2 linked regions of the Tamandua tetradactyla genome follow. The protein of the gene in region 2 purifies or fractionates together with the protein of the main gene of each other region. This does not show direct contact. Links are inferred from orthologs where the notes say so. Each region holds a gene or a part of one and is shown on either strand. Other genes may lie near its edges.

Region 1 (7,797 bases), on a different chromosome or scaffold from region 2:
CAAAGAAAAGTTTGAAAGAAGTGTAGAAAAGCTTTGTTATGACACACGTTAGTTTTATTAATTTTAATAAGCAGGTGGCAGAACTATAAATGCATGTTTTAGTCCTTCTATCAGCTGTGTTGTCACTCACCAATGCATAGATATGCTTTATTTCCTTCTCTATCTGATTAGGACAAGGAATGAAAACAAGGCACTGTGAACAATCCACACAGAGCTGGAGAGAGCAAGAATCACATGCAGGAAGCAGAGCCAGAGGTTGCACACACAGGGAAGAAGGCTCCAGCAGGGCGTGGCAAATTGGTGGATTCACAAGTATGCCCAGAGTAAGTGAAATAATTGTGCAAACTCAATTCACCTCCAGAAGATAAAATCTTGAAACATCAGGTTAATCCTGTTAATTAAAACAATTTATGAGAAGACAAACACAAGTGCTGTTTGTGTTAACAAGCAGGCCCTGCATTAAACACCCTCATTTAAACCTCACAACGGTCATGTGAGAAAGGGATTATCATCCCACTTTATAGATGAGGAGACCGAGGTTTAGAGATGTAAAGTGAAGCCTTCCCCTGGATCCAAGTCTGCCTGCCTCTGATTGCTTTGGCATCTCACAGGTGCTCTGAAAGATGCTTCTGACCTTGTACCTCCAAGAAGCAAAATGAGGGCAGGCCCTCAGGAGAGGGGATTGGAGGCATTTTCAGATAAGCAGAGACCTGAATCTGAGAATAGTGCTACTCACCAAGCCTAGAACCCAGGACCTATCTAAAAGGTTTTCCAGCCCAGCTCCCCAAAGATGATGGAGGTGGGTGGGCATTGCCTTGCAGTCTGGCATGTGCCTGAGGCTGCCCTAAGCACTTGATGCATTGTCTCATTTACTCTTCACAATCTTGGTGGAAGGCACTATTCTTATCCCTATTTTACAGATAAAGAAACTGAGGCATAGAGACGTTAAGTGGCTTGTCTACAATCACACAAAAAGAGTAGAGTTAAGGTTTGGACCAGATAGCTTAGCCTCTGAGCCCGTGATTTAATCACTGATTTATAATGCCCCCCAAGAGAAGGGAGCAGTGCTGGAGCAGGGAGGGGAAAGTCTGAGAGTGGGGATGTCTGGTGTGTGTGTAGGGGGGAGGAGGGCAGCACAGGCTGGTTCCTACACTCTCTTACCAAGGGGTTCAGCAGCCCTGAAATCCAGCCAGGGGACCTCTGGTCTTTGATCAACTTGGCCCAGGGCCCTTCTCCAGCATACCCCACACCTCACCCACAACTTGTTGCAGACCCCAGCCTCAGCTCTCATGCCTCTCCCCATCCCACATGCCGGACTCCCATTCTTGGGCCCTATGGAGAGGTAAGATCTCCCCAGATGCCCCTTATTTACAACCAGCCAAGATATGCATTCACTCCAGGGAACAGCCCAGAGGCTAATAGACAATTCCAGAAGTAACCAAGTGGATACAATTTTCCCCACCATGGTCTGTGGTTCGTGGGCACAGTGCCCTCAAGAATGGCCACTGGGTGCCCCCTAGGCATTCTGTCCTTGCTCATTTTCCCAGACACCCCACCCCTTCTCTCAGGAGTATGCCCAGAGTAGTTCTCTGCAGCATCAAAGGTGATAGGAAGATGCCAAGAGGAAAGTGTGGGAGTTTAAAGATAGACAGATAAGGAAGGGTGGGACATGGAGTCCTTGACCCAAAAGTCTCAGGGAGGACCTGCACCCCAGGACTGGCCTGAGAGGTCTGCCCAGCAGAGAGATCTGCTGGATCCCTCCTGCATCCAGCCAGGATCTGGGACATACCTTCTCCCAGCCTCCAAGGGCCCCCTTTGGGCATTTCAGAGATGGCTCATCCTCTTCCTTCTGCAGCTGGCCCTGGGCACCAGCAGAGATTCCATATGCCCAAGCCTAGGCAAGTAGGGTCACGCCTGCCATCTCCATTAATCATGAGCTGGGTGCCATCCCTCTCACAGAGGCCAGGGGAACTGATGACTAGTTCTGGGCCACACAGCCCTGGGACAGGGCAGGACAGCTGGTGACACACAGAGCTACCTGGGCTGGAAAGGCATGGCATGGCATCTGCCTGACAAGCTAGCGGCTTTGTGTAAGGCCACTTCCTGCCCCAGTGCCCCCACCCCTCCAGATCTGTTGCCACTGCCAGGAGCCTCAGTCCTCCTGGGGAGGCAGAGATTGCACAGCACTCAGGGTGCCCACAGCCTCCCCGCAGCAGCCCAGGAGCCCAGGAGCATTGTTGGAGGAGGAGGAAGTGGAGGAGTTGGCCTGCCCAGCAGGCGTGGCGGCCACGGCAGCCCTGCAGCACCCAGAACTCAAGGTAGAGGGGCAGGTGCCCAGGCCACTGGCCAAGGAGACAGAGTTGGGGAATGCGGGAAGGTGGGCTTCCTTCCAGAGAGCATTGCTCACCCTGGGTGAGAGATAAGAGGGGCAGCTGGGCTGTGGGGCTTTTGTACAGATAGGGAACTGAGGCCCAGGGAGGGAAAGGAACTTGCCCAGGAGCATGGAGGACAGGCCCAGCTGTCTAGACTGTGAGCAGATGTAGAGTCCTGGAGAAAATGCCCACTTGTCAGCTCAGGAGAAAAAGCAGGGGCCTTAAAGGCAGAGGATGGAGCTGTGGGCCTAAAGGGGGAGTGGGGCAGAGAGGGGAACCTCGCCTTTCTGAGCCTCTGTTTCCCACTCCTATTAGAAAGGCAGTATACAAACTCAGCCCACAGGCTTCCTGTGAGTAAATGAAAGAATGCCTTGCCCCAGGGACCAACTGCCTAGAGGAAGCTCCTAGAACATACCCTTTCCTCACCCACCCCAAGGCCTTCCCTAATCATGGTCAGCAAGGGCTGTGGCCAGGACCTCAGGGAGACCCACTAATGCAGAGGAGGGATGGCAGGCTGAGCTGTGCACACCCAACTCTGGACTAATCTTGGGTTGCTGCATTTAGTCCTCACAACACCAAAATGGGATAGGAACCCACTTTACAGACAGAGAAACTGAGGCACAGGAAGGTTAAAGAATTTTCCTGAAGATTTCACCACTAGCGAGACACACCTAGCCCCCGAGTCCCTGTTCTGAACCTGGGTGTAAAGGAACCAGCAGGTCACTCATCTGGCAGAGCCCCAAAGTAGAAGCAAAACTGGGACTGGGTCCATGAGAGAAGGGGCTAAACTCATTTACTCACACACTCAGCAAATACCTTCTGAGTATAGCCCAGGTGCCAAGCAGGCACCAGACCCTGGGGTATGAGTGGGCAAAGCAAACAGAAGGTCCTACGTGAGGCATACAGTGTGGTCATCAGAGAGGCAGCAGAAGAAAGAAGGGACAAAGGGGGTGGGAGGGTTGATGCTGGTTCATTTAGGGCAAGGCCACGGAAAGCCTCTCTGGTTGGGGGGAGCTTGGGGAGAGGCCTGAATGGAGTGAGGGAACAGTGTTTCTGGCAGCAGGAACAGCTAGCCTCCCTGAGACTGGAGTAGGCCCACTAGATTCCAGGGAGAAAAGGTCAGTGAAACTGGAGCAGAATAATCACTGGAGTCCATGAAAAGAGGACCCAGCAGGGGGTTTGTGGGCCACTGTAGGGACTTTGATTTTGTCTCTGAGCCAGAGGGAGCCACGGATTGGGATGGAGGTGGCACAGGGGGTATGTGAATTTACTTAGGATTTTAAAGGGATCACAATCAAGAGGAGCTGGGCAGGGCTGGAGCCTACTGACCTCTGCCCTAGCACACCACCCCCAACCACCATCAGAGTCCCCAAGGCGACGGCCTGCACCTGTGGCCTGGACCACTTTCCTGAGGACAGGGCAAGCAGTGGATGTGTTGCACCCGCCGGCTGGGAGCTGAGCCTCCTTCTGTGACAGCAGCCCGGAAGCAGCGCTGAACAGAGGAAACAAGAGAAAGGACCTACTGCGGGTCAGGTATTTTAAACAAATTACCTTGTGCAGCACTGACAAGGATGCTAGGAGGGGAAACTTCCAACAACTATGAGGCAGAGAGAAACACCTCCTGGTTCAGAGAAGTGAAGCCGTCTGCCTGAGGCCACACAGCTCTTTAGTGGCAGATACAGGCAAGATTTGACCTAGAATGGCCTCAGCCAAAGCCAGACTCTCTTTACAAGTTCATACTCTGGTCCCCACCTGGACCCTTGGAGACCCACACGAGCCTAAAGTGACCATGTCGGCCTCATCATTTCCCACCATCCCCTTGGCAAAGTCAAGAGGGATTTTACACCGGAGGCTGGTTTGGTGATTTTAGATCAGGGGCCTCTCCTTTCTGGGCCTCAGTTTCCCCCTCTGATAATAACCCACATTAGCCTCCCCAGGCAGAGCCTTCAAAATGACTCAGCAAATGGGGGCTCTCGCTCTTGGGAGGGTGAGGCAGCCCTGGAGGGCTCCTGAGCAGGCGCATAGAGCTGGCCACGTGGGGCTGGGCCCGGAGGTCTGACTCACCCCCGACACACACTCACCCCCAGCCTTAGATGCAAGACGCGGCGGTTTATGAGCCAGAAAAGCCGGCTCCCTTTGGCATTCGGGGCAGAGGGCCATGCCGAGAGCGGAAGGGCAGCCTGGGTGGGCGGCCTGCTGCCCATCATGGACTTAGTCCCTGTTTGCTCCTCCGATAACTGGGTGACCTTGGTTAATGTTCACTAGCAGCCTCCCCCATCGTCCCATCTGCATCCACTGCTTAAATACGGACGAGCGCAGGGGATCTGTCTCCTCAGCTTTGGTCACCAGCCCGGCTCTGGGACCGTGAATCGTGAGTATTCTTTTGCTGGGGAGAGCCTCCCAAGACCCTCCTGCTCTGTGTGGCCAGGCAGGCAGCTGGTCTGGGGCCGATGGGGGGTGGCCCCAGGAGACTCAGGCAAGATGGAGCCTGAACCCCTATTTCCTGTTGTCATAGCCACAGCAGCCCCAGGGTCCCCGCTTTCTGAGCCTGCCCAGGGGTTCCTGATTGAGTATATAGTCACAGCCTATATATTCCATAGGCAAGAAGTAGAAGACCCTCCATTCTGGGGGTGGGGGGAGGTGGGGGTTGGCATCTGGCTCCACAGTCCCCGGACCCCAGAAGACCCCAGGACACAGCAGCAGCAACAGTGAGGGTGGTGGGTCCTGTTTGCACTGGACCTGTATCTTCACGGCTTTCCTGTGGTCTGTGTCCTACAAGCTTCACAGGCCCTCCATGCTTGGGTGCGTGCCCTTTTCCCCTTCTACAGGTGAGGAAGGTAAGGCCCAGGGAGGGGCAGTGACCAGCCCAGGGTCACGTAGGGACCGCATCGGCCTCCAGCCTGTTCAGACGGAGTGGAACTGTGCAGGCCCTCAGCCTGGATGGGCCCCCACATGCGGTGGGGACAGGGAGCTGGGGGCTGGGGCCAGGCTGCCTGAGTTTGAATCCTGGAGGGTGTATGATTTGGGGCAAGCTGTTACCCTCTGTGCCCCCAATTTCCTCATCTGTAAAATGGGTATAACCATAGTAGCCATCTTGGACGGTTTTTGTGAGCTTCAATTCACCCATACGTGAAAAGGCTGAGATGTTGCCAGGGGTCCTAGCCCCAGACCCCAGCTCTGCCTACCAGGGTCTACTCTAGAGGTATTTCTCAGGCTCTGGCCAGAAACCCCAAATGCTGGGCTGGCCTCAAGGCCCTCTGTCGGATGCTCAGTAGTCTTCTTTGCAGCTAACATCTCTGTCCTCTTATACAAAATAGAGATAACCTTTGCCCTCCCTCCTTCCCTCTCATCCCACCTTACTCTCTGGAATGTTGGAAGGATTTGATTTTTCTATTATCAGTTTTTGGAGGTGAGGGCTCCAGGGATAACTAAAGCCAGAGGAGCTGGAGGCCCATTTGGCAACCTGGAAAGGTCCATGACAGCATCAGTAACCATAACTTGGGCTTCCTGAGAGCTTACCATGCACCAAACACTTCTCAAGACTTTGTGTATATTCAATCTGCACGTTTTGGCTCTGGGAGGGAAGGCCATGCTGATCATCACCAGGAAGGTTCAGAGAGGGTAAGTGACTTGTCCAAGTCACACAGCCAATGGCCATTAGAACTCAGGCAATCTGGCCTCAAAGCCTCTCCCCTTGGCTGCTAAGCCATGCTGGCCCTTTATATTTAGCCAGGCCATCTCTGAGGTTTTTTTCTGTTTGAAGACTCCTCACTTCAGCTTTGAACGAAGAGAATGCAAGGAATGGAGCAGGAATGCCTAATCTTATATCCAGTTTCTAAGCTCCTAGCTCCGTGGTTTTTAGTAACCTCCTGGTGTCTCCATTTCTCCAACTATAAAATAGGCTAATAATAATTCACCCTTCATGGGGTAAGCTCTGAGGGAAGATTAAATGGGACAGTGCCCATAAAACACCGGATGTTTAGTAAGTGCAATGCTGCTTCTGTTTGTTTAGCATAGGGCTCGGAGCTAATAAACCTTAAATTAACATGAAGAGTTGAATATACTGTTTGTTTACCAAATTCAGAGGTAACACCGCCTCACTCCTTTAACGCCCCTGGATAGAAATGGTGTGAGATCAGGCAGAAGGACAGCACACGCCATTCTCTCCTGCCTGCCCAGTCCTGCTCACACCTGCCCTGGATATTGGCAATAGCACCATTAGATTCTCACTGTTTGGTTTAAAGTGTGGACTCTGTGCTCACATACTTCTGATGACATCACCACCCAGTTCCTCTTCTCCAGTTAGGTTTCCCCAGCCTGGGCTTTGGGGTGTCCTCCCTCCCAGAGGGGGCTGGCCTTGATAAAAACGAGAGAATCGAATCGAGGCCTTGGGCTCCTTGGGTTGTAAGGAACAGATTCAGAAGCAAATGAACCAAAAAGGGGATGCTAGAGGCCAATGTCAGATCCTCCAGGGCCCAATTCTGATTTTCTGTGGGTCAAAGACCTGAAGACGCAGCTGCCTCAAATGGCGGCCAGAGTGGTGAGAAAACAAAGGGTGGTTCAGGATTTGTCCCTAACTTGCTGTGTGAGCCTGGCCAGGCCCTGCCCATCTCTGGGCCTCAGTCCTTCACTATGAAAGAAGGAAATTAGTGTGTAGGATGTAACACCCGGGAAGATTAGAGGTAGATACTCACTGCCTGCACCACTGGCTATAGTTGCCCCACACCAGTGTGCCCCTGAAAGGCCAGAAGCTCCTGGAGTGGGAGCGTACCTCACCCATGCCCCTCCCATGAAAATTCTCAGTCTCAGTTGTGCTCAATCAAACCCCGGATCTACCTTCAATAAAAATCTAATGTAATCAGGAGACCTCATTTTGGCCCATCCAGGCCCTCTAGCTCCAGTGAAGGAAAACAGGGCCCCAGGGACAAGGCAATGCCAGCCCAGGGCCAAGTGTACAGTAGTGGAAACACAGGGATCCCCGGCCTCTGACCTCAGACCACTCAGCACACCTAGTGTCCCCACCTTGCCTGTGCCCAAGTCCCATCCAGTCCCTGAGCCCTGCAAGGATGGGGAATTTCCAGACCTCCTAAGGACTCCCAAATCCAGTCAGGAAGTAAGGGAGACACCTGAGGGAGATGGAAATAAACAGAACTAATTTTAGCACTGGCCTTGGAGCTGAAACAACTGGCTAGTTTTAAGGAAAACATAAACATGTTTGCTCTATTTGGATTATTAGAAGCACAAAAGTCAGAAAAAAGGTGGTAAAGGGAAATAAGTTTAGTGATTCATTCTGTTGTTTTGGAGGGAAGAAACTTCTAAACGTCCAAGTGTGGACTTTTCTTTTTCCCAACTTTTCCCATCAGGAAAATTCGAGATCATATCCCAAATTCGAGAATAAATTTCTCTTTGCATTTTATGATGATTT
Region 2 (7,953 bases):
AGAGGGAACCATTTTGGAAAAAGCTTAGAGATGACAGAGACACAGACACTTGAAGATGCCTGAAGTGCCAACAGAGAGACTAGATGCCTGGAGAAAGTTTGGAGGTGCAAAGCCCAGCAGACGTCACCATGTGCCTTCCCATGAGATGCTAAGCCAGCCAGAACCCAGAGTTTTGCCCCAGAGGAGCTAAGTGAAGGCCCACTTAGAGAGGAAACCACTGGCATCAGAAGCTGGAAGCAACGGAACCAGGAACAAGGACCTGCAGATGCCAGCCATATGACATCCCATGTGACAGACATGAATCTTTCTTAAGTCAAGGTATCTTTCTCCGGATGCCTTAGTTTGGACATTTTTCATTTGGCCTTAGATCTGTAAACTTGTAACTTAAGAAATTCCCTTTTTAAAAGCCATTCCATTTCTGGTATATTGCATTCTGGCAGCATTAGCAAACTAAAACAGACACCTAGAAGGAGGATGAATGGACTTGTTTTTTTACTCAGAAAACTAGAGTGATTTACTTCATATCACTTCTGATTCTTTTTGTGACTCATTCCTGATTCTTTTGTTAACATCTGTCTTCCCTCTAGACTGTACATCCTATGATGGCAGTGGCTGCATCTGCTTGCTCAGCCCTGTACTCCCAGAGCCAAGCCCAGTATACATACAGCAAGAACTCACTGAAAACTCATGAAGTGAAGAAAAGAAAGATGATGTGAAGGAGAAGGAAGAGTCAAGGATGAGACTCAGGTCTCTAGCTAATATGACAGAAAGTAGAGATAAAGAAAAAAGAGTAATTGTGGCTGGGGGAGGGGGTGTTGGTACGAATGCGAGGTTTTGGGAAATGCTGACCTGAAGTGTCTCTGACGAACCAGGCAGTGATATTCAGCTAGCAGCTGGAAATAGGAGTCAAACTTTGGGTTTAGGGTCGGGGAGAAACCCTCTCAACTATAAGATGCAATGCTGCCCTTGTCCTAGAATGTGAATGGACTTACCCGAACTTCGGCCTCCCGGGGCCTCCCATTGAGGTCGCACTTGGACCCGTTTCCATAGGTCTGACTGTGGTAGCGTTTCAGGCGATGCTGCTTGGAGGCCTAGGGAGGATAGGGAGCAGGAAGGAGCAGGGGTGAGAGAGAGCAAGGAGGAAGAATGATCCTGCGCCCCCATAAGAACCTTAGAAATCTTAGGAATCCAGAACCCAGGAAACTTTGTCCTATTTGCCACCAAGCCCCAAGAAACATAGCAGCAAATCCTGACCCACCCCTTCTTGTCAGGGCTCTGAGTCTACACTAAGACCTCTTTCCCTCCCAATTCCATACTCCTGACACCTTGGCGGTTTCATCATCCCAGTCAAAGGCCGATTGGTAGTAGCCAAGATAGAGGACTTCACCTTTGATCTCTGAATCTGCAAAAGAAACCACAATGACGTACTGTTACTCTCTCTAAGAGGACTGGGGAGGCAAGTCACCTTCCATATGACATGCTGACAAGGGCTTAGGGAGAAAGTAGTCACCTTCCATGTGGTACTGCTGGATGTGGCGTCCATAACAGAATTCATATGTCCACCAGTCCTTGGTCTGACAATTAAAAAAATAACAGTCAGGGGAATGGAGTGGGGATGTACCTCCTGGGAACTAGAGTCTCTCCCAGCTCCAAGATATACAACCTCTCATCTACTCCTCATTGCCCTGTGCTTCCACACTCACTCTCTATACTCTCAGTGAGAGAGAGCTGTTTCCCTTCTGTGAGTCAGAAAGATGCATCTAAAGTCTGTTTTCTTCCTGTAGTCTTTCCCCTTTAGAGTTTTAAAAATCCTTCTTTGCCCTTCATAGAGGTAAGAATCCCGGTATCCTTTTATTACTCAGACCAGAAAACATACAACACCCCAACTTAAAATACTAATTTAGGTTCTATAAAGTTCCTTTCACTCTTCTAGACTCTAAGGATACAAAAAGGATACAGCTGTGAACAAGATAGTTCTCTGACCTCATGGAGCTTATACTTTAGTATGGGGAATCAGACCAGAAAAACAAACAAACAAACAAACAACTGATGATTCCATTAATATGATGAAAAGTACTATGATGAAAATAAACTAGGAGAGTCGTGCAGAGAATAATTGGCAGGGGGTGTCTCTGGCTAAGGTTTAGCAGGAAGACTTCTCCAAGCAGGAGACCCTCTACCACTTTCCCTCTTTTGGCTCCTTAATCTTGGCTTAACACTTATTCTAAGACTTTCTATCCTACTTCTCCTCTACGTTTGGCAGAGTGTCATAGTGGTTGCAGGATTCTTTGCTCTTTTCCTGTCTGTATTACATGTCTACTCCAACCGTCTTCCGAACTCCCCTAAACCCTTCATTCACCAGTACTCTAGCTCTCGGATAGGCTGCTAGTTCCCAAGTCCCCATTCCATGCATCCCAGGTTCTTTCACCTTCAGCAGGCAGGGAGCATCTTTCATCGGACTCAACAACACAGGGATTCCAGGTCCTTGGTAAGCAGGTGTCTCCTCTTCCCTTTCACGCTGGAAATGAATGGCTCCAGCTGGCAGGCGACACTCATAGCGCTGTTTGTACTTGGAGGAAACAATCACCACGTCCGAAGCCTGGCTCTGGGAGAGAAGGCGGGGGGGATGGGAGGTAGGGAGGCGAAGAGAGGCTGGGATCAGGGAGAACAACGAGATCCCTCTTCAGACCCTGGGGAAAGCCCAGTCGGAGAGAGCATGAGGCACAAGTCCTCCACCTGTGGGGGAGGGGAGAGGACACACCCACTTCTACGCGGGGGCGGAGTATGAGTGTCTCCATCAGGAACTGGAACCTGGCGGCTGACAGCGGGAAGCCCCACCCCTCCGGTCGCTGGCCCCACGGAATAAAGCTCAGTTTGCGATCCCCAAGAGTCACTATAAACCCTCTACCTATTCTTCCCGATTCTTCTTAGGCTCCTGCCCCAGATTCCGAAGCTGCCCCCTTTCCTCTACCTTGCCACTCTTCCTCTTCTGCCCCGGAATCTCCCCCACCTCTACGCCTCCTCACCTGCCCTCCCATGATAGGCAATGGCAGGATCTCGATCCCATAACGCATCTCACTCAGCTCCTCCAGGTTCAGACTCCCAACACTGCCGCTCAGACTTGCGGGTAGCATGAGACCTAGAAGCAGCAGCCCTAACATACTGGACAGCAGCGCTTCCGCCGCCATTTTTCCGTCCTCTTTCTCAGCCAGAGAAACTCCTTCCGCCCTAAACCTGGCAGAGGCCTCGCCCCGCCCATTAACTCTGCAAGGTCTCATTGGCTGTACGTTCTGTCCCTCTCACGTACCTTATTCCCATTTGTAAATGTGACTCCAAAGTCCCACGGGGGAGGGGTGATGATTAGCCACTATTAGCGAACCATTCTCTGTGTGTGATTGGCCAGGGAGACCAACCAATCATGAACGATATCAGAACCTCCTCCCACTCGCCCCTGGTTCCTAAGAACTGGGGTCCTTGGGCTGGGCCCTTTTAAGCAGTTTTCCTCTGTTCTAGCTCGGCTTCCTTTCACATCTCTTATTACATTTTTAGACATTTCTTGCATTGTACTGGGCTCCTGAGAGGCGGAATATTGAAGCCAAAGGGTGGGTGAGCGCGAGTTCCCTGGAAATTAATACTTGTTGGGCAACGAACAGTTGAAACATACCTCAGATATACATACAACTTGAGGGCGCTCTGGTAATGTGTCATAATCTTTTCACACGAAAAAAAGAATTGAAGCTCTGATACATGCAACGACATGCGTGACCCTTACAGACTTCATGTGGAGTGAAATAAGCCAGACAGAAAAAGGATAGATATTGTATGATCTCACTGATATGAAACAATTAGAATAAGCAAACTCATAGAGTGAGAAACTAGAATACAGGTTACAAGAGGCTGGGGTGGGAGTGGGGAATGGGGAGTTAATGCTTACTTGGTACAGAATTTCTATTTGGGGTAATGAAAAAGTCTTGGTAATGGATGTTGATGATGGTAGCACAACATTGTGAATGTAATTACCAGCACTGAATTATATGCTTGAATATGGTTAAAAGGGGGAAGTTTTAGTTTGTATATATTACTAGAATAAAAATTGAATTTAAGAAACCCATAGGACTGTACAACACAGTGAACCCTTTTGTAAACTATGGGCTATAGTTAACAGAACAATTATAATAATATTCTTTCATCAGTTGTAACAAAGGTACCATACTAACACAAAGTGTTGGGTTATATGAGAATTCTGTATTTTCTACATACTTTTTGTGTAAATGTGCAGCTTCTCTAATATATATATATATTTGGAAAACGCCTTTTACATGACCCTGCCAATACCCTCCAACAAAGTTATCCTAAAGAAACGATGGGGGCTTCCAGTCAAGGAGGAGAGGGAAGGGGGTGAATGTACATATTATCCCCCTAATCTATGAACCTACAAAGACAGAGAGAAAGGAAATAGAAGCAATGACAGCAACATTTTAGAACCTGGAAAGCAAATGGAGGTATGGTAGGTAACTTTTCACCTACCTGAGAAAGTTAATCCCTAAACAGCATGATTATACCTTTAGGCAGAAGATTGGAATGTGGAGAATTTGACTAGCCCAAGAAAAAAAGCACAAAAATACTCTCATCAGGGCACTCTCAATGAATTAGCCAAACTTTCAATTAAGTACTTGCCTATATACCAAGTCCCTCACATGGACTGTCCACAATCAGCTTTTTTTGTACTCATTCTTAGGCATAAGCAGACAACCAAGGATCATTAGGCATTTAAGAAAAACGTTTAATATGCAAGAAAGAAACCAAAACAATCAAAGAGAAGAAAACAAAGTAGAGGAAAGAGAGACTGCAAGGTGTGGAGGGTGGGTGGGGGATGACTAAAAAACAAAGCAAATGAATTAAAAATCATCACTAAATCCTGAGTAATAAGATAGTACAGCCATCTTTAGAAAGGCAAGATGTTATTTTAAAAGTGTTAAAAGAAAAACTGTTCATGGAATTTAGGATCTCCCAGCTTTATTGAGCAATACATGAATTGGGCAGCAACCCATACAGAAAGTAGAAGGGAGTTCCACTGAGAGAGTGAAAAGGATGAACTTATATGGGGCACGTGAGAAAATGTTCTCATTGGCTGATGTAAAGATTCAGTTTTACCGGGGTGGGGGGTATTACAAAGTGGGGAGCAGATATAAATTGATTAGCATGGTATTCTTGTCCCATCTAATAAGCTATCTCTCCTGGACCAAAGCTGGTTTATTAGAAGCTGTTGCTTATCTGCAGTTCTGTAGGGTACATTCCATTGTTCCAACTTCCTGGAAAGCCCCTGCAAGTCCATTGTCTTTGTCTTCTAGAAAAGTCCTTCTCAGAAAGGGGTCCCTCTGGAAACCCCCAATGCAGGTGGCCATTTTATTTTACTTAACAAAAATGACTACCATTCAGATAAACAAAAAGACCTTTTGGAAATTAAAACCATGATAGCAGAGATAATAATTTAATAGAAAGGCTGGAAGATAAAGTTGAAGAAGAAAATTTGCTGCACTTTAGTAGAAAACTGATAAAAATTAGAAGACCAGTACAGGAAGTGGAACATCTAAATAGAGTTTTAGAAAGAGAGCAGAGAATCAGAAGGGAAGAAATAATCAAAAGAAATTACTTAAAAGTATTTCCCAGAACTGAAGAGCTAAGTTTCCAACTTGAAAGGGTACACAAATGTATCCAGCACAACAAATCAGACCCACATCAAGACACATCATTGTAAAATTTCAGAACACTGGAGACAGAAAAATTTCTAAAAGCTTCCAGAGAGAAAGAACAAGTTTCATACAAGAATCAGAATGGCATTAGGCTTATCAGCTCATCACCACTGGAAGCTAAAAGACAATGGAGAAAGAGTTTCAAAATTCCAAGGATAATTATTTTCAACATTGAATTCTATACTCAGCCAAATCATGATATAGTTGTGAATCCAGAATAAAGACTGTTTCAGATATGAAAAATATAAACACTCCATGTATTGTTTTTCAGAAAGATAGGAGAAGATGCATTCTGCCAAAACAAATCATTAAGTCAAAAAAGAGGAATGCATGGAATCCAAGAAACATGGGATTCACAATAGAGAGACAAAAAAGAATTCTTGGGGATGGTGAAGGGAGATCCAAAGCTGTATGGCAGGACTAGAAGTCAGTTTTCAAGACTGGAGCAGGTCAGAAGAGTTTGGGTGTAATTTCTTCAAAAAAATAAAATTAACAGAATATCTAGTGATGTGAGCATATTGAGAAAAAAATGCATAACCAGAGGAGAGTTTGGGATAAGGGATAAGTGTGTAGAAAGCAAAGGAAAGAAAAATGGCAATTACTAATTCTGAGGAAAATTAAAACTTGTCCTGCAAAAGCTAAGCATACTTCTGTTTCCTCCAATATTTTGGTTTACATATTTAATTAATTCTTTTACTAAAAACACCTAAAAATGCTGGGTAAATGGAAATATCTTCTTAAAAATGTAGTAGACGAGATACGATGAGGCTAGAGAATGGGAAGTGTTGCTTAAGATGTGAAGATTTTTTTAAGTAGGTTGAATTTAAATGAGTGGAAATGGATAGAGGTGATGGTAGCACCTTATTGTGCGTATAATTAACAGTGATGAATTGTGTGTGAATGTGGTTGGTAGAGGAAGTTTAGAGTTATTTATGTCAACAGAAGGAAAGCCAGAGGTTGAAATATGGGAATGTATAATTCAGTAAACCTTGTGGTGGATGATGACTGTGATTAACAAATATTAAAAATGTTCTCTGTGAACTAGAACAGATTTACAAAACTATTATAAGGAGTTAATGATAGAGTGGCATGTGGGAAAAATGCATCTACTGAAAACTATGGACTATGGTTAACAATAATATCTTCTTTTTTTTCCAAAGAGAGAAACTTGTATTTCCAATGACCAGGTTAGAATTTCACACACAATGTTAATTTTTTAAATTTAATTTTATTTATTTAATTTTAATTTAATTTAATTTTTAAAAAATATAACAACAAACACATTCTTAACATATGATCATTCCGTTCTAAAATAATCAGTAATTCACATCATCACATAGTTGCATATTCATCATCATGATCATTTCTTAGAACATTTGCATTAGTTCAGAAAAAGAAATAAAAAGACAACAGAAAAAAGTTCATACATACCATACCCCTTACCCCACCTTTCATTGATCACTAACATTTCAATCTACTAAATTTATTTTAACATTTGTTCCCCCTATTATTTATTTTTCTTCCATATGTTTTACTCGTCTGTCGATAAGGTAGATAAAAGGAGCATCAGACACAAGGTTTTCACAATCACACAGTCACATTGTCAAAGCTATATCATTATACAATCATCCTCAAGAAACATGGCTACTGGAACACAGTGCTACATTTTCAGGCAGTTCCCTCCAGCCTCTCCACTACATCTTGACTAGCAAGGTGATCACAATGCTAATTTTAACGGTGATGACTACAACAGACACGTGGCTTCTATCAACTTCCACAGCAACCATTAAAACTGCAATAAACTTTTTTTCCTTTGGGATTGTTTGCACAAGATAGAGCCAATGACAGATTAAAGGGAATTCTTTGGCTAAAATGGTAATGAATGCTTTGTTAGTGTACCTCAAAGTCAACCTTTCAAAGGAAGGTACTTTTCTTTAGTGGGTGTTTTACACCTCACCTACCATATTTGGCTGCAACTCGTGAAATCTATGATCTATCAAATATACTATTGATTTAACTGTAATTATCCAATGTTATAACAGTAATATCTTAATATTTGTTTATCAACAGTAACAAATGTATCACACCATTAATAGGGATAAATGATGAGGGGAGAATAAAGGGTACAGGCTATTTTGGGTTTGCTCTTTCTTTTTTTCTTCCTGGAGTGATGAAAATGTTCTAAACTTGACTGTGGTGA

Evidence for each region. Proteins that work in one complex are often made in the same cells at the same time.
Region 1: the proteins of OS9 (region 2) and SERPINA1 purify together in Homo sapiens (affinity purification with western blotting; 4 studies listed by BioGRID). This does not show direct contact. The link is inferred for Tamandua tetradactyla from reciprocal best matches to the Homo sapiens genes OS9 and SERPINA1.

What each region holds. Positions count from the first base shown.
Region 1 is NC_135338.1:55,474,314-55,482,110, reverse strand, and holds the start of SERPINA1 (alpha-1-antitrypsin), read left to right. Parts: upstream 1-4,625; 5' UTR 4,626-4,743; intron 4,744-7,797.
Region 2 is NC_135333.1:125,000,479-125,008,431, reverse strand, and holds the start of OS9 (protein OS-9), read right to left. Parts: upstream 3,244-7,953; 5' UTR 3,189-3,243; coding exon 3,027-3,188; intron 2,606-3,026; coding exon 2,429-2,605; intron 1,575-2,428; coding exon 1,511-1,574; intron 1,403-1,510; coding exon 1,326-1,402; intron 1,092-1,325; coding exon 993-1,091; intron 1-992. UniProt on the Homo sapiens protein: Lectin component of the HRD1 complex, which functions in endoplasmic reticulum (ER) quality control and ER-associated degradation (ERAD).